Linked DNA regions of Saccharomyces cerevisiae S288C. The main gene of each other region encodes a partner of the protein of the gene in region 2 in a complex. Each region holds a gene or a part of one and is shown on either strand. Other genes may lie near its edges. The genes, in order: YAP1801 and CHC1. A codon is read from its position in the direction of its gene.

Region 1 (10,247 bases), on a different chromosome or scaffold from region 2:
CACATTCAGCAGTGGATAATATTTTAATAAAATTGAGGAACACCAACATTAGCATAATGAGATTGGGAATGAAACATAAGGTCCATCCTGACACGCAAAAATATGTCCCGAATTACGCGTCAGTGAAAAGTTATAACGATTATTTGTCCAAAATTAACAGCACCTCTGTTGTTGCTACCACCTGCTTAGGAATTAACGATATACTATTTACACTAAATGAAAAGGATTTTGATTATGTGATTTTGGACGAGGCAAGTCAAATTTCAATGCCTGTCGCTTTGGGACCTCTGCGGTATGGAAATAGGTTTATTATGGTAGGAGATCATTACCAGCTACCGCCATTAGTTAAAAATGACGCAGCTCGATTAGGTGGGTTAGAAGAGTCACTGTTCAAGACTTTCTGTGAAAAGCATCCGGAAAGCGTTGCAGAACTGACTTTACAGTACCGTATGTGCGGCGATATTGTAACTTTGTCTAATTTCCTAATTTATGATAATAAATTAAAATGCGGGAATAACGAAGTTTTTGCTCAATCTTTAGAGTTACCAATGCCTGAGGCCTTGTCGCGCTATAGGAATGAATCGGCTAACTCTAAGCAGTGGCTTGAGGATATACTAGAGCCTACAAGAAAAGTGGTATTTTTAAATTACGATAACTGCCCGGATATTATCGAACAAAGCGAAAAGGATAACATTACGAATCACGGGGAGGCAGAATTGACTCTACAATGTGTGGAAGGAATGTTATTGAGCGGCGTACCATGCGAAGATATTGGTGTAATGACGTTATACAGAGCACAGTTAAGATTACTGAAGAAGATATTCAACAAAAATGTGTATGACGGGCTAGAGATCTTGACTGCTGATCAGTTTCAAGGTCGTGACAAAAAGTGCATTATTATTTCCATGGTTAGAAGAAATTCTCAATTAAATGGAGGAGCGCTGCTGAAAGAGCTAAGAAGAGTCAATGTTGCCATGACAAGGGCCAAATCCAAGCTGATCATTATAGGTTCAAAAAGTACAATCGGCTCTGTTCCTGAAATAAAATCGTTCGTGAACCTGTTAGAAGAGCGTAATTGGGTCTATACAATGTGCAAGGATGCACTCTACAAATACAAATTTCCCGACAGATCAAACGCTATTGATGAGGCACGCAAAGGTTGTGGAAAAAGAACAGGTGCCAAACCCATCACATCAAAGTCTAAATTCGTAAGCGATAAACCTATCATAAAGGAAATTCTACAAGAGTATGAAAGTTGACAGGGGGAATAAGAAGAGCTTCTCCATAACAGGAAAGCTATCACAGCATAAAATATCTATGTCATTTTATAAAGTTTGGTATATATAACACGTAATATTAGCATCTGAGGTTCGAAAGCTCGCATGTGTGTCTTTTCTAAAAAGTTTTCGTTTGAACTTTTCCAAAAGCTTCCTCATTAACGAACCAGGATGTTTTTTCACCAAATAATTTGTTAACCAATGCGGTTGGCAATTGATCGTTTTTCAAGTCAAAGATCTCATGCATTATATTTTGTTTGGAACTGCCCTCAGCCACAAAACACAGGGCTTTGGCGTCTTTCAACACAGGCAGAGTGAAGGTGATTCTGTCACTTGGAGGCTTGGGAGAATCGTGGCACCAAGCAACTCTTTTGGTTGTTTCGTTCAGCAAGTACCTATGTGTTTCTCCAGGGAATAAGGAACAAGTGTGTCCATCAGGACCACAGCCCAACAGTACCAAATCAAGCACTTGAGGTACGATACGCTCGTACTCTGCAGCAATTTTGTTGTTAGATTCAGCATCGCTGCCAATCAAGGACTCGTCCATGGGATAAACGTTTGGCTGACTAGTCGAGGGTAATTTATCTAGAACAGCTCTCTTGAAGGCACCATAATTGCTGTCAGCGTCCGTCAGTGGCACAATTCTTTCATCAGAGAAGTAGATTTGCCATTTAGACCATTGCACTCGAGAAGATAGTGATTCGTCCGCTACTAAACTTTCATACAGAGCATCGATCAAAGAGCCACCGCTAACGGAAACTTTAAAGTCTGACTTCTTTTGCAGCGCCTCATCTTGTTTCTTGACGATGAATTCCCCCAATTGATGGGTCAAACTAGCCCTCTCAGAAAACACACCGACTGTCACCATTTGGTCGCGGACCAGGGGTAAAGCAATTGATGGTGCATTGCCTTCTATTATCCTCGAGGCCTTTCCTCTTTATATAATATACCACTATTACCATTGTCGGGGATAAAAAGGTAAGAAAAAAACGGAAAAATGCAAAAGAGCAAATTATAACACCGCGCAAAGAAAATATACTTTACTATTTTATGAATATTATACAATCCGGATATATATGCTTACGTACATATCTTTGACAAAGCAAAGTTTCGAGTTGTAAATTCGGCGTTTATCTGCCCGTAGTAATTTCCTTTTTGCTTTCGTCGGCGCCGCTGAGAATATAGCTACACAATTGCGATATAGAGTCGCCATTCCGTATCCTGTAGTTGGCAATTCTACCCAATTGATAGCCAGCGGTCAGACAAAGAAACGAGTTGACAGAAGCCAACAAGATGTTTCTTGGCTTGATGACAAAGGACCAACGAGTCCAAATCAGCGCAGTAGATAGCAGCGACAAATTTTGAGCACCAGAAATTTTTTCCACCGGTCTCTTCATATCGCTGAATCCAGCGAAAACCAGACCCCATTTCAAAGTAGGAGCCCAGAAATGCACCGTCTTGGGGCCTGTCTCACTTTGCCAGAACCGCCTAAATGCAAAACGTACGGATGATGTAGACATTTTTCTTTTCTTTAATCTTTTTCTGTATAACTTCGTTTATATAATTCGTGTGTCAATTTTCTGATATAGTGAGTGATAATTCTCGACAATACGTTCTTTCGAATGAACTAATGGTTTGCCGTCTATTTCAGTTTCCTATTGCAGTCAGCGATGTCAACGATGTGCGTATCAAACTTTACTGTTTTCCTCGAGGAAAAACCTTTGTGCTTCTTTTCTCTCGGACTTTTTCTTCTTTCTTATTATATACTCAACGCTTTTCTTTTTCTTCTTTTTTTTTCCATCCTAGTCATGCGCGCAATAGGAAAGCGCACGAAACAAATGAGTAATTCGTAGGAAACAATGCAGCCCCCAGGGTCAGCAACTGACGTGACTCAGCCTGGCTTTTGTAGAAAAAGATGACGCCCTGGCAGAGAGGTGGGGGAATTGAGGGGTCCTCGCTACCCACCTTAAGTATGGAAGAATATGATGAAGAATATGATGATAACTCTTGGAAGCGAGCGGCGGGTTCCATCACTTTTTACGGATTGGTAACACAGGGGCCTCAGTTCGATACTTGGTATTCAGGCTTCCAGCGTTGGTGAGTTTAGTTAGCGGTATGGTATGCACATGGTGTTGATGCTTGGTGGTAATCATTCGTTAGGTGAATTGAGCAGTAGCGATATTAGATATATTTAGTATTTTATAGCGTCTTTTTGGTGGGGGAGGAAGGACAAAACCTGTCTCGTAAATATAAAGGGACTGTTCGATATCGCAGATACTAGAGTATAAATTTCGATTGAGGCGAGATGACAACATATTTCAAGTTGGTAAAAGGTGCTACCAAGATCAAGTCAGCCCCGCCCAAACAGAAGTATCTGGATCCGATACTGTTGGGGACCAGCAATGAAGAGGATTTCTATGAGATCGTGAAGGGTTTGGATTCCCGAATTAATGACACGGCGTGGACTATTGTGTATAAATCGCTGTTGGTGGTTCATTTGATGATAAGGGAGGGTTCCAAAGATGTTGCATTGCGGTACTACTCTAGGAACCTGGAGTTTTTTGACATTGAAAACATACGTGGCTCCAATGGCAGTGCGTCTGGAGACATGAGGGCACTTGATAGATACGATAATTATCTGAAGGTGAGATGCAGGGAGTTTGGTAAAATCAAAAAGGACTATGTGAGAGACGGCTATCGAACACTGAAGCTGAACAGTGGCAATTACGGAAGCTCCAGAAACAAGCAACACTCTATCAATATAGCACTAGATCATGTGGAGTCCCTAGAGGTACAAATACAAGCCCTGATTAAAAACAAGTATACACAATATGATTTGAGTAACGAATTGATCATATTTGGTTTCAAGCTGCTTATTCAAGACCTGCTAGCGCTATATAATGCTCTCAACGAAGGTATCATAACTCTGCTGGAGTCTTTTTTCGAACTATCTCATCATAATGCAGAGAGAACTCTAGACCTGTACAAGACGTTTGTTGATTTGACCGAGCACGTTGTCAGGTACTTGAAGAGCGGGAAGACTGCGGGCTTGAAAATACCCGTCATCAAGCATATCACTACCAAACTGGTCAGATCGCTAGAAGAACATCTGATAGAGGATGATAAGACGCACAACACTTTTGTGCCCGTTGACAGTTCTCAAGGAAGTGCTGGGGCCGTAGTAGCCAAATCTACTGCACAGGAAAGGTTGGAGCAAATCCGGGAACAAAAAAGGATACTAGAGGCACAATTGAAAAACGAACAAGTAGCGATTTCCCCTGCTCTAACTACTGTCACGGCGGCTCAATCTTACAACCCGTTTGGAACAGACTCTTCTATGCATACTAACATTCCAATGGCTGTGGCTAATCAAACGCAACAGATCGCAAATAACCCATTTGTATCTCAAACTCAGCCACAGGTGATGAATACACCAACCGCTCATACAGAGCCCGCAAATTTAAACGTTCCTGAATATGCAGCGGTCCAACACACAGTGAACTTCAACCCTGTACAAGATGCTGGCGTAAGTGCCCAACAAACGGGGTACTATTCGATTAACAACCATTTAACACCCACATTTACAGGTGCAGGGTTTGGAGGATACTCCGTTTCACAGGATACAACTGCCGCTTCTAATCAACAAGTCTCTCATTCACAAACTGGTTCTAACAACCCGTTCGCATTGCACAACGCCGCGACGATCGCAACAGGGAATCCTGCACACGAAAATGTCTTAAATAACCCATTTTCACGACCAAACTTTGATGAACAAAATACCAATATGCCGCTACAACAACAGATAATAAGTAACCCTTTTCAAAACCAAACGTACAATCAACAACAATTTCAACAACAAAAAATGCCTTTGAGCTCGATCAATAGCGTTATGACAACCCCTACTAGCATGCAGGGATCGATGAATATTCCTCAGCGTTTTGATAAAATGGAATTTCAGGCTCACTACACTCAGAATCATCTCCAACAACAGCAACAACAGCAACAGCAACAACAGCAACAGCAACAACAGCAACCACAACAGGGTTATTATGTGCCTGCAACTGCAGGAGCCAACCCTGTTACAAATATAACTGGGACAGTTCAACCTCAAAATTTCCCTTTCTATCCACAACAGCAACCACAACCGGAACAGTCTCAAACACAGCAACCAGTTTTAGGAAACCAATATGCTAACAACCTCAATTTAATTGATATGTAATATCTAGTATAATCAGGTATGTAAGGGAGTACTCAAGTGCATCTTTGGATAGCTATATATAGTTGTAAGGAAGAGCTATGTAATTTTTGCCATTTTGTACATATTTTGCATTTGTCCTATAGTATGTAATACTTACATCTTACTGTCTTCAATTCCTCCCGCCAACAAAAGATTTCGATAGCGCCGCACCATGGAGTTTATATTGTTATTTCCGAGACGACCTATATAAGGGAAAAGACGAAAACTGGGTATTTGATACTTGTCTAAACTTCAATGGACAAATGATATAAAATACAAACAATGAATAGTAACCGATGCCAAACGAATGAGGTGAATAAATTTATTAGTAGTACAGAAAAGGGGCCTTTTACGGGCAGGGACAATACGCTCTCTTTTAACAAAATCGGGAGCAGACTGAATTCACCACCGATTCTGAAGGATAAAATTGAGCTGAAATTTCTACAACACTCAGAAGATTTGAATCAATCACGGTCCTACGTAAATATTCGTCCTAGAACCTTAGAGGATCAAAGTTACAAATTTGAAGCGCCAAATCTAAATGACAATGAAACTTCTTGGGCCAAGGATTTTAGATATAACTTCCCTAAGAATGTTGAACCGCCCATCGAAAATCAAATCGCGAATCTTAATATAAACAACGGGCTACGGACATCTCAGACAGATTTTCCCTTAGGCTTTTATTCACAGAAAAACTTTAACATTGCTTCCTTCCCTGTGGTTGACCATCAGATATTCAAGACAACAGGTTTAGAACATCCTATCAACAGCCACATTGATTCTTTAATTAATGCTGAATTTTCGGAACTGGAAGCCAGTAGTTTGGAAGAAGATGTCCATACAGAAGAGGAAAATTCAGGTACGAGTCTGGAAGATGAAGAAACTGCCATGAAAGGTTTGGCTTCCGATATAATTGAGTTTTGCGATAATAATAGTGCCAATAAAGATGTAAAAGAAAGACTAAACAGTTCAAAGTTTATGGGGCTGATGGGCAGCATTAGTGATGGTTCTATAGTTTTAAAGAAGGATAACGGTACAGAAAGAAACCTTCAAAAACACGTAGGTTTTTGTTTTCAGAATTCAGGAAACTGGGCTGGTCTTGAGTTCCATGATGTTGAAGACAGAATTGCTTAACGGGCCTTGAAATTTCTTTAATTTAAACCATGAATTTCAGATATATAACACTTTTTAACCACTTTCAAGAGAAAACAGTATTAAATTACATACTGCGTTCACAGCTATACGTAAAAAGAGTGACAAGTGAAGAATAAACGTCATTTTGAAAAAGGAATTAGAAGTCTGTCATTTCAACTGAGTTTTTGACGGAGGAATTATCATTATCGGGTTCTCCAATAAAACTTAGCTTGTTACTACTTCTTTTACTTTTTTTTTCTCGTGTTCGATGTCCACTTTCATCTGTGAGACTATTATTCCCAGCATTGTCTTTCTGGAACTTAGTTGTCGTTTTAAATTTCCTCATGTTTAAACTAGAATCGTCGCCACTATCTTCTGCTTGCCCCCGGTTCGTAATTTTATGTGTACTTTTTTTCTGTTCATGCTGTCTATCGCTTTTATATACAGGATCACATCTGTTATCAGTAATAACATCATTATCGTTTTCTTCTTCTATACCGAGTAATCCGGCCTTGACATCGCTAACAAAGCTCCAAAGCGACCTGGAGACTGATCCTTGCGAAGGAGATTTTTGGCGAGCTCCAGGTGCTTCATTATCGTACTGTTGCGCGGACGACTCGCTATTACTAGTCGGTGTCCCTTCCTGTACCTCAGGCGTACCTGAAAGAGAGTCATCCCAATTCAGAGTTCTTTCAATTTCATGCTGAATGATTTTATCAAACTGATTAAACAGAGCTAATGGTTTGCTCCAAAGTGACTGTTTGGATGAATCTGACGAGTCGTCCCTTTGGCGCCTTTCTTGAATATCTTGCGGAGACACAGATCTTGACTGATTAGTACTTTGATGACCCATGTTCTTTGGTTTACTGACAGAACTAGGAAGGCTGCTGTTACCAGCATTTTCAGTTCGTGATTCCAAAGGTATATTCTGGTAAACCGGTGAAAAAGCCCGGTTTTTAACAGGTGTATTTAGAGAGGGATCCAAATGTTTACTCACTTGCTCCTTGAGTTCATGCAGTTCACGTGCCCGACGAGTATAGTTTTGCTCTTCATGCTGGGTTTGCTTTTTCAAATCTTCAATCTTTTGTTTGCATTCCAGAAGTTCTAACTCTTTTGTAGCGAGAGATTGTAGAAGCGCACTTACATCGACCCCATTTGTTGGTATGGTGGTCGCTATCATACTATTAACCGACTGCGAACTCCCATTTCTAGACCGTCGAAGTCCGCTGGCCATCGCTTGCTCACTAGAAAGTACAGTGGTTGACTCTAATGGGATTCCATAGGATCCCTCAGAATGACTTACTGAAGGTAAGTTGTTTTGAGATTCTGGTGTAGTGGGAACAACCATGGGTTGAATAAGTGATCTTCTCTTGCTCATTGCATTTGGAACTGAGACAGAAGAATGACGAGTTACCACCCTCCTAGCATCTGGCTTGGCTTGTAAGGGATGGTCCTGGTCATTTAATCTGGTAGGCGTCATTAGTCTTTGCGAATGCATGCTTCCCGCACTGGACGTACGATGGTGTTCTAGCCTATATCCATTGGAACTAGCAGAACGAATCTTTCGTCCAGTTTTCCTCACAGGTGACATCGAAATTATACTATTTCGGGTACTGGTGTCCACATCCAAATCCTTCTCATTAGACTCTATAAACTCGTCAAATTTATTCATATCAGTGCCCTAGGAGATAGATTTAATTATCCTCGGATCCATGTAGTGGTAATTGAGAAAAGCACAGTTAGTATTGGCCTTTTTCCTTACCTATTATATTGAACTTTACAACTTGTACCCTTCATCACCTTTGGAATCACGCGGCACGTCTTCTGGGGACTTGGCGACGCGGTTGTTGATAGTAAACTACAAGCAAGCATTCCTTTAAAATACGAAACAATAAGATATAGAAAAGCAACAGGGCTCGTTCTATAAAGTAATTGTTTTGCTTGATTTGTGATACTTACACTTATTAACAAATTCACAGTAATTTTTCAGGAAAAGTTAGAGCCCGTTTGCTTCAATTTGCACCTAGAAAATAACTCAAACATGGCTGGATTCAGCTTCGCCAAGAAATTCACTCACAAGAAACATGGAAAGACGCCTTCTGATGCTTCTATCTCTGACCAATCTAGAGAAGCTTCACTGTCAACTCCTCCAAATGAAAAATTTTTCACAAAACAAGAAACGCCTCAGAAAGGGCGTCAATTTTCACAAGGTTACCATTCTAATGTTAATAAAACTAGTTCACCACCTATGTTTGCCAGAAAACAGGTATCCGAATCAAGGATTCAACCGAGCGCAGTACCACCGCAACAGCGAAATGTCTCAGGACCGTCCACTACTCTCCATAAGCAGCTTTCAAAACAGAGAGAATATACCGTATGGAATAGAATCAAGTTACAGAATTCTCCTTTTCCACGTTATAGACATGTTGCTTCAGCATATGTTACAGACAAGAACCAGATATATGTTATTGGGGGACTTCATGACCAATCTGTGTACGGCGATACATGGATATTAACGGCCTTCGATAATGCCACCAGATTTTCCACTACAACGATAGACATAAGTGAAGCTACACCACCACCAAGGGTAGGCCACGCTGCTGTATTATGCGGGAATGCCTTTGTTGTATTTGGCGGTGACACACACAAAGTCAATAAGGAAGGTTTGATGGACGATGACATATACCTTTTGAATATTAATTCCTATAAATGGACAGTCCCGGCACCCGTGGGACCACGTCCATTGGGAAGGTACGGTCATAAAATTTCGATTATCGCCACAACTCAAATGAAAACAAAACTGTACGTGTTTGGTGGTCAATTTGATGACACCTACTTCAACGACTTGGCTGTTTACGACTTATCTTCTTTTAGAAGACCGGACTCTCATTGGGAATTTTTGAAACCAAGGACCTTTACACCACCACCTATTACCAATTTTACTATGATATCATACGATTCTAAACTATGGGTATTTGGTGGCGATACCTTACAAGGTTTAGTAAATGATGTGTTTATGTACGACCCTGCAATAAATGATTGGTTTATCATTGATACCACGGGTGAAAAGCCTCCTCCAGTTCAAGAACATGCTACTGTAGTCTACAACGATCTGATGTGTGTTGTAGGCGGGAAAGATGAGCATGATGCTTATTTGAACTCCGTGTATTTCCTAAACTTGAAATCGCGTAAATGGTTTAAATTACCTGTATTTACGGCTGGAATTCCGCAAGGCCGTTCTGGGCATTCTTTAACATTATTAAAAAATGATAAAATTTTGATTATGGGAGGAGATAAATTTGATTACGCTAGAGTCGAGGAGTACGACTTGCATACCTCTGATATTGATATGCAAAGAGGTACAATTGTTTATACGCTAGACTTGGCCCGCATAAAGGACCTTTGTCCAGGCGTAATGGATGTTCCAACTGATACGCCAACTCCGAGAAATGGTAATCTTGACCTGGCGACGCCCGTTACCCCAACCTCTCATCAAACTAAAAATATGAACGTACCAATTTCAGCAGCTCCTCTAGCTTCCGCTCCATCACCTGCACCAAAAGATTTTTCAGATGCTGATCGCCTCAACAGGGAGGTAC
Region 2 (13,533 bases):
TAGTATTTACGTTACTAGTATATTATGATATTCGGTGTTAGAAGATGACGCAAATGATGAGAAATAGTCATCTAAATTAGTGGAAGCTGAAACGCAAGGATTGATAATGTAATAGGATCAATGAATATTAACATATAAAACGATGATGATAATATTTATAGAATTGTGTAGAATTGCAGACTCCCTTTTATGGATTCCTAAATCCTGGAGGAGAACTTCTAGTATATCTACATACCTAATATTATTGTGTTGATAATTAGAGGTTAAAAATTAGTATTAATGAAGAAGTGAGTACTGATCTTCTTATACTAAATAAGAGAGGTATATAAAACACACGCCGATTGGTCATATTAATCATGACCAATATAATAGTGATTCCGGTAGTTACTATACATTGATGTGACGACTCATATTCCTCATATATGTACCTACCATATCATGTTCAGCTAATAGGTCTTTAACACAGCTTCAGTATTGTCTGAGCTTCTCGTTTAACATTCCTTCTGCAATAGGCGCAATCACACTTAAACGTATACGATGTGTACATTAATATACGATGTAAGCATTAGATTGTTACCATAGCAACTCATGTCACTATTAATTACTCTCGTTCCAACATATTGCCTTATTAAAAATGGAATCCCAACAATTACATCAGAATCCACACAATCATCATGATGTTTTAGAGCTTCATTCCAACAAGTGCCAACACAGCACATTTATTATTTGTTATGTATATAATTCTGAGATATTGAGTAAACACTCAATAATTACCTGCCATCTTAGTATAGTGGTTAGTACACATCGTTGTGGCCGATGAAACCCTGGTTCGATTCTAGGAGATGGCAATTTTTTTACTACTATACATTGGTAAATGTAGTCATGTCATTGATTCGTCATAGTTATGTGAATAGTATTAGATATGTAAATAGATAGAGAGTACCGTTATGCACATAAGATGGCCTCTCACTAGGATTTTGTAACTTTTTGTTAAAACTTGGCGACACTAGTTGAATTGAAACAAAAGTCGCAAAACAGAGGGTTCGAAGGAAAACAGGAAACCTCTACTCACTTGTTTATTTTCGATAAAATTTCCGCATTAGCTGCACCACCTAACTTTTGGTCAAATTCGAAACCTCTACCGAGCATGCTGCTCAACAGCGCATGATAAGAAGGCTTCCCTGCCCCATCTGCCTCCACTGGATTATTGCGGCAAACTTCATTGAAGTAATTGTGATAGATATCGCCATCAAAGTAACCTATAGGAGAATTTAACATCGCGTCAGGTAATTCAAAGGAGTCTGTCAGACCTATACAGTCTTTCCTCACAATTGGCAAAAGAGCCAATAGTTGTGGCTGCACAACTTTAGAGATCTGATCAGGAGTGAAGATCTTGAATTGTTGGAATTCTCCGGAATGCTTGTCAATAAAATACAAGGAAAATAACTTATAAACATTCCACATAGATTCCTTTGTAATTTCATCGGAAATATGTGAATCACGAGAGTTTAACTTGTCGTAATAGGTTTTCAACATGCAGCGCAAGGCATGAAATTTGGATACTAAGACTAAAAGCTTAGAAACGCTATCAATACTTCTTGATTTTTCAACTAAAGTACCAATATGTGCCAGTAATTTGATTAAGGTGATAGACCAAATTTCAGTATAATCACCCAACTCCTTTAAACCACTCTTTATTTCTCCAGAAACCACAGATCCTATGTACTGAGGTTTTAAGTAAGAGAATGAGTCCACATCCAGTGTGTTGTCAAATCTACCCTTTGTGGCTGAATCGATAAATTTTTTCAATATTGATTTTGCTGAAGTTAAAGATAAAACATTATTATCACCCTCCCATGTGCACTGAACCACCCAGTCGTCATAGCCTTTACCAAATCCGTTATACTGTGAATACCCATGTCCTCCGCAAGTCTGTCTCAACTCATCAATCAGTGTAGCAATTAACCAAGTATTGGTGGCTTTCAAGCTGGCGCTATCAATAAATAAATTCTTCAACTTTTTACTCACGGTAACCAGAGCAGCTTTGTATGCAGATGAGGAAGCGTTGTATAACTCGTCCAAAGTGGAATAATAGTTGTCCATTAACTTAAAAGCTACAGGTGACACCAAATATGGAACACACAATTGTGGTAAAACACGATATTGGTGAAGGGGATAGTCGATTAATTGTGTTTCAGACAATCCCTTTCTAGGTGCGAATTGCTGACGACCAACCGCGTAACGTACAGCAATAGTAGCAAATTTGGAGCCAAACCTAAATGAATCCATGACCATGTTAACTCTACCACTTAACAATGCACTATAACCAGAAATTTGATCCAATTGTGGCTCAGTTTTGACGGTGACTGAACCATCTGGAGAACGGACAACTTTGGTAAATCTACTTAGCATAAATTCTCTAGGGATAACTACGTTTCTGAACTGGATCCAGCCATTATCAATACCGTCACGACCCATCTTCGCTCCAATATCCCCTATGGAAACACCAGCTAACAGTTGGAAAGTCGAAGGGTCTCTCAGAGGAACAACGAATGTTTTTACACCGTAGTCTTTACCTTCAACGATCAATCTGGCGTACACGGCAGCGTGCGTGGCAGAATGGGCAGCCCCACCAATCCACCATTTGGTGGCAGTTAGATCAGGTGTATCAATTACAAAAGTATCATTTTGCTTATCGTACACAGCCCTAGTCTGCAGCTGGGCAACATTGGAACCATGTCCTAACTCAGTCATTGCAAAACAGCCATATATACCTTTCATCAAAGTGGCACCTCTCTCCTGCAACCAATACCGGATTTGCTCATCAGTACCATTGCCCTTGATACAATTACCAAATAGCCCCAAGTGTACACCCACGCGCGTACCCAATTGAGGATCAATATTTGCTACAAGTGACAATCTCTTATCGAATATAAAAAGGTCTTTGTTTGTTAAAGGCGAAGCTTTGTCTGGATCATTTGCTTGCAACTCTTTCATCAGGTCAGTGTCGCGAAAGTGTTTGCGCACTGTTTTGATATCGTGCTCCATATAACTAGCAAGCCTAGCTATTTTTTTGGCAGTAATTTCTCTCTCTTGCATTTTTTTAGCATCGTAATAGTCCGTATCAGTTTTCAATATAGGATCATTCACTATTTGGTCTATTAAGGCGTGCGTCAGAGTTCTCCTCTCCGGGGATGACTCTAAAAATGTGTTAACTTGGTCAACTTTGATTTTCGAATCCGCCCTTTCTTTCTGGATAAATTTTTGAGGATTCAGAACCACCGAATCGGGATTAATAGTAGTACGTCTCGTCATATCGCAATACTAATTTATTATATTTTCTTTTTTTCTGTGATACTTATTAGTGTCAAGTGTGTATTCAAAAACGGAGAGCAATATTAGTGATGATGAGCGGAATGAGGAAAACTTTAAGGCCTGTTCAAGTTGTTTAAATAATTTTTACAGGTTAGACCTTTATAAACACTCTTAAAGCCCCAATGTATTAGTGCTTTGACTTAACAACGCCAACGTTCTCTTGTGTACTTGCTTGTAGGTGATTTACCCCAACGGCTATTAGCCGCTAATGACCGAATTCCTTTCGCTTCGGAGTTTAATCAACTAATACCGTAAATATAGGGCTTAAAATGTGTCAGGGTTTGAACGCAAAAAAAGGAGGTTTATAATAAAATATTAGCACATTATAGGTTTTAAAGTTAAAAAATAATAGGGTTAATTTTATTACCCTACCCCCTTTTTTTGGTCGAGATCTCGCATTTTTCGTCGCTAGGAATAAATACAAAGAGAATTAAGAAAAGTAAAAAGTGGAACTGAAGGAATCTACAGAAATAAGGAGATATTTTGATTAGTTGTTCAGAGTAACTTATTGAAACCTCGACAATCCGGATCAGAGTTGAGAGAGAAAGAAGATATTCAACTATAAAAATAAATTATCACGAAAGTTCTAACCAATGAGTGACCTACCCATTGAATTTACCGAATTGGTCGATCTGATGTCCTTAGGAATTTCCCCTCAATTCCTTGACTTCAGATCAACTACTTTCGAGAGTGACCACTTCGTCACTGTTAGAGAAACAAAGGACGGTACAAACTCTGTTGCAATCGTGGATTTGGCCAAAGGCAATGAAGTGACAAGGAAGAATATGGGCGGTGATTCTGCTATCATGCATCCATCTCAGATGGTTATTTCCGTTAGAGCAAATGGTACTATCGTGCAGATATTTAATTTGGAAACTAAGAGCAAGTTAAAGTCTTTTACTTTAGATGAACCTGTTATTTTTTGGAGGTGGTTGAGTGAAACCACTTTGGGTTTTGTTACCGCAAGATCCATACTGACCTCGAACGTCTTTGATGGTAACGTAAATGCTAAGCCTCAATTGCTTACCTTGAGACACGCTAACTTGAACAATACCCAAATTATCAATTTTGTGGCTAACAAAAACCTTGACTGGTTCGCAGTTGTTGGTATCTTACAAGAAAATGGCCGTATTGCCGGTAGAATTCAATTATTCTCAAAACAACGTAACATCTCCCAAGCTATCGACGGTCATGTTGCTATCTTTACGAATATATTACTAGAGGGTAATGGCTCGACCCCGGTACAAGTTTTCGTTACTGGTAACAGAAATGCCACCACCGGTGCTGGAGAATTAAGAATTATCGAGATTGATCACGATGCTTCATTGCCTTCTCAATATCAAAAGGAAACTACCGATATTTTCTTTCCACCAGATGCAACGAATGATTTCCCAATCGCTGTTCAGGTGTCTGAGAAATACGGCATAATTTACCTATTAACCAAGTATGGCTTCATCCATTTGTACGAATTGGAAACCGGTACCAATTTATTCGTTAATAGAATTACAGCAGAATCTGTTTTTACTGCAGCTCCGTACAATCACGAGAACGGTATTGCATGCATCAATAAAAAAGGTCAAGTTTTAGCAGTAGAGATTTCTACTTCTCAAATCGTTCCATATATCTTGAATAAATTATCTAATGTGGCACTGGCCTTAATCGTTGCTACAAGAGGTGGCTTACCAGGTGCAGATGATTTATTTCAAAAACAGTTTGAATCTTTATTGTTACAAAACGATTATCAAAATGCAGCTAAAGTTGCAGCCTCTTCCACTTCTTTAAGGAACCAAAACACCATCAACAGGTTGAAAAACATTCAAGCACCACCAGGCGCCATTTCTCCTATCCTACTTTACTTTTCAACACTATTGGATAAAGGGAAATTGAATAAAGAGGAAACAATTGAATTGGCTAGACCAGTTCTACAACAAGACAGAAAACAATTGTTCGAAAAATGGTTAAAGGAAGATAAACTAGAATGTTCAGAAGAACTAGGTGACATCGTTAAGCCTTTCGATACTACTTTAGCGCTAGCTTGCTACTTAAGAGCAGGTGCCCATGCAAAAGTTATATCTTGTCTTGCCGAATTACAACAGTTTGAAAAAATTATTCCTTACTGCCAAAAGGTTGGATATCAACCTAACTTTTTAGTGCTGATTTCTTCTTTGATTAGATCATCACCAGACAGAGCTTCTGAATTTGCCGTATCTCTATTACAAAATCCGGAAACTGCTTCTCAGATCGACATAGAAAAAATCGCAGATCTATTCTTTTCCCAAAACCATATCCAACAAGGAACCTCTCTACTTCTAGACGCGTTAAAAGGAGATACCCCAGACCAAGGTCACTTGCAAACTCGTGTTCTTGAAGTCAATCTACTACACGCACCACAAGTTGCTGACGCCATATTGGGAAACAACATCTTTTCTCATTATGACAAACCAACTATTGCTTCCTTATCCGAAAAGGCGGGACTATACCAGAGAGCTTTAGAAAATTACACAGACATCAAAGATATCAAGAGATGCGTTGTCCACACCAATGCATTACCTATCGATTGGTTAGTCGGATACTTTGGTAAGTTGAACGTTGAACAATCTTTGGCGTGCTTAAAAGCTTTAATGGATAACAATATTCAGGCTAACATCCAGACCGTAGTACAGGTGGCAACTAAATTCTCTGATTTGATCGGTCCATCTACTTTGATTAAATTATTCGAAGATTATAATGCTACGGAAGGTTTATACTATTACTTAGCCTCTTTAGTCAACCTAACCGAAGATAAAGATGTGGTTTACAAATACATTGAAGCTGCTGCTAAAATGAAACAATACAGAGAAATTGAAAGAATTGTGAAGGATAACAATGTCTATGATCCAGAAAGAGTCAAGAATTTCTTGAAGGATGCCAATCTAGAAGACCAGTTGCCTCTAGTCATAGTTTGTGACCGTTTCGACTTTGTTCATGAAATGATTTTATATTTGTACAAATCACAGAACTTAAAATTTATTGAAACTTACGTGCAGCAGGTTAACCCTTCAAAGACTGCCCAAGTTGTTGGCGCATTACTTGATATGGACTGTGATGAGGCATTTATTCAAAGTCTGCTACAATCAGTCTTAGGTCAAGTCCCTATTAATGAATTAACTACTGAGGTTGAAAAGAGAAATAGACTAAAAATATTGCTACCTTTCCTAGAACAAAGCTTAAGTCAAGGTATCCAGGATCAAGCTGTTTACAATGCCTTAGCAAAAATTTATATTGATTCCAATAATTCTCCTGAAAAGTTTTTGAAGGAAAACGACCAATATGACACCTTAGACGTTGGTCATTACTGCGAAAAAAGAGATCCCTACCTTGCATATATTGCGTATGAAAAAGGTCAAAATGATGATGACTTGATTAGAATCACTAATGAAAATAGCATGTACAAGTACCAGGCAAGATATTTGTTGGAACGTTCTGATCTCGATTTATGGAACAAAGTTTTGAATCAAGAAAATATTCACAGAAGACAATTAATTGATTCGGTCATCTCCGTTGGTATCCCTGAATTAACTGATCCTGAACCTGTTTCCTTAACTGTTCAAGCATTCATGACCAATGGATTAAAACTGGAACTAATTGAGTTGCTAGAAAAAATCATATTGGAACCTTCTCCTTTCAACGAAAATGTGGCTTTACAAGGGTTGCTATTATTGTCTGCTATTAAGTATGAACCAACTAAGGTTTCAAGCTATATCGAAAAATTAGATAACTACGACGCCGATGAAATTGCTCCATTATGTATTGAACATGATTTGAAGGAGGAAGCTTTTGAAATCTATGACAAACATGAAATGTACGGTAAAGCTTTAAAGGTTTTAATCGAAGACATCATGTCTTTAGATAGAGCTGCTTCTTATGCTGATAAAATCAATACTCCCGAATTGTGGTCTCAAATTGGTACGGCTCAGTTAGATGGATTAAGAATCCCAGATGCTATTGAGTCTTATATTAAAGCAGAAGACCCATCAAATTACGAAAATGTAATTGATATAGCCGAACAAGCCGGTAAATACGAAGAATTAATTCCATTTTTACTAATGGCTAGAAAGACTTTGAAAGAACCAAAGATCGACGGTGCTTTAATCTTGGCCTATGCTGAACTAAACAAGATTCATGAAATTGAGAACTTGTTGGCAGGTTCCAATGTTGCAAACTTAGATCATGTTGGTGATAAATTATTCGAGAATAAAGAGTATAAAGCGGCCAGGCTATGTTATTCTGCTGTTTCTAATTACTCCAAGCTTGCTTCTACCTTGGTTTACCTGGGAGATTATCAGGCTGCTGTTGACACTGCTAGAAAGGCTTCAAACATTAAAGTTTGGAAACTGGTTAACGACGCTTGTATTGAAAAGAAAGAATTCAAGCTGGCTCAAATTTGTGGGTTGAACTTGATCGTTCACGCTGAAGAATTAGATGAACTGGTGGAAAGGTATGAATCAAACGGCTATTTCGAAGAACTGATTTCATTGTTTGAAGCTGGTTTGGGACTTGAAAGAGCTCATATGGGCATGTTCACTGAATTGGCCATTTTGTATTCCAAATATGAACCAGACAAGACCTTCGAACACTTGAAGCTATTCTGGTCCAGAATAAATATTCCAAAGGTTATTAGAGCTGTCGAACAAGCTCACCTCTGGTCGGAATTGGTCTTTTTATATGCTCACTATGATGAATGGGATAATGCTGCTTTAACACTAATCGAAAAATCAACCAAAGACTTGGATCACGCCTATTTCAAAGAAGTTGTTGTCAAAGTTTCTAACTTAGAAATCTATTACAAGGCCATTAATTTCTACGTCAAATTTCACCCATCATTACTAGTTGATCTTTTGACCTCATTGACACCAAGATTAGATATTCCAAGAACTGTCAAAATTTTCTCGAAATCCGACAACTTGCCTTTAATCAAGCCTTTCTTGATCAATGTCTTACCAAAAAATAACTCAGTTGTCAACCAAGCCTACCACGATCTGATGATTGAAGAAGAAGATTATAAAGCTTTGCAAGACGCTGTTGATTCTTATGACAAATTTGACCAATTGGGATTGGCATCTCGTTTGGAATCTCATAAGCTAATTTTTTTCAAGAAAATAGGAGCCCTGTTATACCGTAGAAATAAGAAGTGGGCAAAGAGTCTTTCAATCTTGAAGGAAGAAAAGCTATGGAAGGACGCTATTGAGACGGCAGCAATCTCTCAGGATCCAAAGGTAGTGGAGGCTCTACTCACATATTTCGTTGAAACCGGTAACAGAGAAGGCTTTGTTGCTTTGCTATATGCTGCTTACAACTTAGTGAGAATTGAATTTGTTTTAGAAATATCATGGATGAATTCTTTGGAGGACTACATTAAGCCATTTGAAATCTCCATAAAAAAAGAGCAGAATGATTCCATTAAGAAAATCACCGAAGAACTCGCTAAAAAGTCCGGATCTAATGAAGAGCACAAAGATGGCCAACCTTTGATGCTGATGAACAGCGCGATGAACGTTCAACCCACAGGATTTTAAGACGTGGATAAAATAATTCGTTTGCTGTACCCCATCGTGTATTTTTTTTTTTTTTACCGTTATTATTTTGTTTGTTAGCATCTTTGATTATCTGAGGGGATTTCAAAATGCCAATAAAAAAGACCTTATGAGTTCTGTATTTTTCTTAATATTTTCGAGAGAATTTCCCAACTATAAAATTGTAGATTACAGGAATAAATAAATTGCAGAAACTAAAATGATTGAAACTGCCTTTTCAATTTATATACTTTTATATCAAATTATGTTCAACTCTAGTAGAGTTTCTTTTATTACGCAAACGTCCTATGACCTTGACCGTTAGCATTGAGTGTACATTCAGTCCATTTACATTTCTTAGCATTGATAAATACTATGCCTAAATACCATCATTATTTTTCAGATACATAAGAGTAATTTTCTGTCAGATCAAGGTCTTGCTGGTGAAACCCAGTAAGTGTTATAAAGTCTAATCTCTAAAGTTTGCACCCCTATCAGCCCTAGCAGCCTTTTTCTCTAATTCATCCCAGTCTTCACCTTCCTCACTCTCGTCGCCAGTATAGTCCTCACTTTCATCACCACTAATATCGTCATCCACCTCTGATCCTTCTTCATCTTCAGAAAATGCGCTTTCATCACTTACGTCGTCTTCTGAAGCCTCATATTCACTAACTTCTTCTTCACTTTCATCAGATGCTTCATCATCTGAACCAGTAGCCAGAAAATTCCAACCACCATCTAAGAAAAACTGATATGGATCATCTTGTAATGACTTCATAATAGTTGCCCAATTCAAATTGATTGTTGAGACAGTGTAAGGAATATCCATATCTGTTAACCACTGCTTCAAGAAATCTAAAGATTCGATCGGAACTGTATTGATATGAGTGACGGGTTTATTGAAATCTTTATAAACAAAAACCATGTCGAAGTTTTTCAAACCAAATTGAACTCTTTCTAAAATACAGATTTCGACTTCCTCTAGGTTAATCACCAAAAATGGTGGTTCAATCAATTGAACTAAACAATCTGTAGTTGGCATACAGAAAACTGCCGATCTATTTGGGACACCTTGGAAGCCCAAATCTCTAAATGTATTCTCCACCGTCAATAAACCGTTTGATGCTTCTGCGATTGCGTCTGCAAAATACTTAAATTCTTTATCAAGCGCAGCTCGTTTTCTTCTTTCTTCTTGTTCTTGTTCCAGCTCATCCTCATCACCATATCTTCTGAATCTGGATTGACCTCGTCTTCCACCTCCAGTTTCATCGACGGACATATCAGAAGCTTCACGATAGAATTGGACGTCTTGTATTTTCTTTTTACCCATTAAAATTGGATTCTTCAAATGAATATGAATGACGACAATTAATTCACCTTTACAAGATTGAAAAATTAGATTCTTAATGTTTGAGAATAATATGTCTATTCTGCTATCAGTCCTTAGTGGGGATTGAAATCTGATACCATTTTCATGGATAAAGACAGTACTAGGTACACGTTTTGTATCTGGATTTGGCCTCACAAAAATTTGATCCAGTCTTTTCGTTCTTCCAGTTTTATTTTCAATCAATTTGTCCTGTTGAACAACATCAGCAAGCGCCTTACGTTCTTGCTCTCTCTTTGTGGCTTCTTTTTTCAAATCTGCAATTTGTTTAAAGGTTTCACTCATGCGGTCACCATCTTTGGATCTTAGTGTAATCGAACGTACAAATTGATTGTCTGCTGATTCCTCATACGGCAATTCCTCCACTTTTTTAGAAATACCACCAGAAGATCCCGGTGAATTAAAGTTCAAACGTAAATACGTATATTCGCCTTCTTCGTTTTTAGAACCATTCTTATATGAATTTATATGAAATGGGACTGGCCTACCGTAAATGGGTAGAATAATTGTTTGGCTTTTCCAGTCGACATGAATTCTTAGATCACGAATATTGGTTGGTAGTTGTGAATCCCGAACATAAGATTCATATTTTTTGAAGTATTGACGAGGTTCACTATCTGGGCCATTGGCATCAGCAGCACTAAATCTGAGTAATCCATTCTTTTCCAATTTTTCGTGTAGCTTCTTTTGGTTTTCTTTACGAATTTGCTCCTTTTGAGCGTCTTCGGCACCACCACGGGCTTCGCCACGTAACTTTGTTCTTAAAATTTTGGAATTTCTGTCTGGTTTACTAGGGACTTTGGTGGCAGGTGAAGATTTCTTTTTATTATTGTCTTCTTCTTCATTATTGAAATAAAATGATATCTGGGATTTGGCTTTGGTGTAATTTGTTAAGAAGCGTGGAGGCTCTGTTTCATCGAGAGGAATTTGAACCGTATCAGCTAATTGTAAAGCGTAGTTGTTAGCACTTTGAGAATCTTTCAGATTATTGAAACCAAACGAAATATTAAAGCAGTCACCGCGTTGGATTTTACGGTAATCATTCTTAACATTTAATATAAAGTTAGAATCTCTAAATTCGAGACCAATCAATGAACCAATGTTTTTGGTGAAATTGGGCACTAGTTCAGGTTTGGTTTTTTCGATGTATTCTATTACTGATTCATAAACTTCTTTTGGTGTACGGCCGGGCTTCAGAATGTTAGTTACAATTTCTTTTTGCAAAGTTAATAGAAAATCGTAGTTGTTGGCCATTTCTTCAGATGGATCGATCAAAAAGGTCCTAGTAATATTAGAACAATAATTATTGTAACGAATACCACATGAAGCTAAAATACAACCGTTGCCGTACAACTGATCATTGGTAGAACGGGCAGAAACCCTAAGATCAAACTTTTTCCCGGACTGAATGATTGGAGAATAGGTCCAATCCAATAAATCAAAGTTGAATTTGTAGTTTGGTGGGCATAATGCGCTTAAATCGGGACTCAATTGCTTCAAAAATTTCACATCATCAATTTTATTTTCAATTTTGTCTGATAACTTGGCATTGGTGATTTTCAACTCCTCGTCAACTGCCCGAACCATTTCATTGGATAAAAGGTCCATAAATTTGTCCGACCCCTTACTTGAAACGGACAGGAAGGCTTGTTCGTTAACATCCTTCACTTCCCAAACTTTAGAAAGACCCAGCGAAATATCAATGACATTGAATTCGTTCTCCTTCACAGCCGCTTCCCATACTGGGTTCCACTCAGTCATAAATTTACCTTGGTAAGAGTCCTTTTCAGGGATACCCACTGTTTTACCAGCGCTATTGATTAAGGCAATAACGTCATCAAATAACTTTTTATTGAGTTCTGGTTCTTTATTGTTTCTTTGCCACAATTCCAGCGTAATTTTGCTTTCAGGGTCTTTAAATAGATCAATTGCCTTTTGTAAATGCTTGGCCTTGGCAGAACTAGTAATTATAATAACCTTTCCGGGAACTAATGCAATCAAAGTAGCGGGAAATTCGTAACTTAGCAACCAATTATGCAATATGGTCGTCTTCTGGTACGGGTTTTCAGCGTTGGACGAACCTAAAACAAACAGCAGCGAATTTGGAGAACCTTCAAACTCATTGTACTTGGAATACAACAATTCAATCCTTTTCTTAAATACGTCAAAATCAATATTCAGCTCTTCCATATTCACTTAAATACACGAAGCCAGTTCACGAAAGGTGCAATATCAGAAAGGAGTAAAGTTGGAATAGCTGAACTTTTTACCTTTTAGTCCCGTGACTCTCTTAGCTACTTTTATTCCTCTTCTCACCAATATTAAGATTTCAATATTCTTTCGTTAGAAAAGTGGCGATTCTCATTTTCCGAAAAAAAAAAAGATCACGCGACTTCCGGGTATTAGTATCGTGGTTTGTGATAACAATAAGCATTGAGAGTACTGAGCCCATTAGTAAATCATTATGTTATATGCTTCTATATCTCTGCTTACACTAAATTGGAAATAGAAATTAGTGTGCCATAGCTGCCAAAAATATATACAATACGCCTTTAAAAAGTAGGAATCCCGGATTACGAGGACTCTATGGGCGTATAAAGAATCTGGGTGACATATTTCTGTTTATATCGAACGATGGAGGCTACACAAAGTGTATTGTGCTTAATGCTACTAGTAACCAAGTGGTTAAGCACCACATGGTTCGGAATGGGCAGAGCGCCTGAGTTGTTCTCGTTGAACTGGTCTTGCGTGGCATAGTATTTATTCAAGATAACATTCTCCAACTGAGGAGGTAATTGGGGTGGTGTCAGCCATGACGTATCAGTATTGCTTTGCTGACGATCCAAGGTATAATAGTATCGTTCCATGACAGACGGGTCAGTAAACACGGCGGGAATGTCTGTTGTATATTCCAACGGAGGTCTGGGTGACAGATCTTCATGAAACCTTGTATATCCGTCACCAAAATCGTCTGGATCCTTACCAATTTGTAGAGCAATTGAGGATCGATCGCTGGTGGGAGGTCGCATGGAATCTGCTTCCTTGGACCTTATCTTTTCGTTAGTTGGGTTTTTTTCTGGTTGCCTGACTTCTATGTAATTGACGAAGTTTCCCATCTGATCAGTTGCTGTGGGCAGGAAATCACTAACTCTAAGCTCATTATCCACTATAAATCTGAATCTATGTGTGCCTGGAAGCAGCCTTAGCTTCACATGAAAT

The links.
Region 1: the proteins of CHC1 (region 2) and YAP1801 are in contact, whole or in part, in a crystal structure (PDB 9EXF), measured with the Saccharomyces cerevisiae proteins. Residues at the interface, in NP_011309.1 of Saccharomyces cerevisiae: Val49 (codon at 4,113), Lys63 (codon at 4,155), Asn64 (codon at 4,158), Met65 (codon at 4,161), Gly66 (codon at 4,164), Gly67 (codon at 4,167), Ile79 (codon at 4,203), Val81 (codon at 4,209), Arg82 (codon at 4,212), Ala83 (codon at 4,215), Ile87 (codon at 4,227), Gln89 (codon at 4,233), Phe91 (codon at 4,239), Asn92 (codon at 4,242), Leu93 (codon at 4,245), Lys96 (codon at 4,254), Lys98 (codon at 4,260); in NP_012031.1 of Saccharomyces cerevisiae: Asn631 (codon at 5,473), Leu632 (codon at 5,476), Asn633 (codon at 5,479), Leu634 (codon at 5,482), Ile635 (codon at 5,485), Asp636 (codon at 5,488), Met637 (codon at 5,491).

Annotation. Positions count from the first base shown.
Region 1 is NC_001140.6:415,622-425,868, reverse strand, and holds YAP1801 (Yap1801p), read left to right. Parts: upstream 1-3,582; coding exon 3,583-5,496; downstream 5,497-10,247. Other genes in the region: bifunctional ATP-dependent DNA helicase/ssDNA endodeoxyribonuclease DNA2, read left to right, coding at 1-1,259; 6-phosphogluconolactonase SOL3, read right to left, coding at 1,396-2,145; MPC2 (mitochondrial pyruvate carrier), read right to left, coding at 2,408-2,797; PEX18 (Pex18p), read left to right, coding at 5,797-6,648; TDA11 (Tda11p), read right to left, coding at 6,806-8,320; KEL1 (Kel1p), read left to right, coding at 8,690-10,247. UniProt on the Saccharomyces cerevisiae protein: Involved in endocytosis and clathrin cage assembly.
Region 2 is NC_001139.9:97,940-111,472, reverse strand, and holds CHC1 (clathrin heavy chain), read left to right. Parts: upstream 1-3,968; coding exon 3,969-8,930; downstream 8,931-13,533. Other genes in the region: POX1 (acyl-CoA oxidase), read right to left, coding at 1,069-3,315; chromatin-remodeling protein SPT16, read right to left, coding at 9,397-12,504; SIP2 (Sip2p), read right to left, coding at 12,888-13,533. UniProt on the Saccharomyces cerevisiae protein: Clathrin is the major protein of the polyhedral coat of coated pits and vesicles. In yeast, it is involved in the retention of proteins in an intracellular membrane compartment, presumably the trans-Golgi.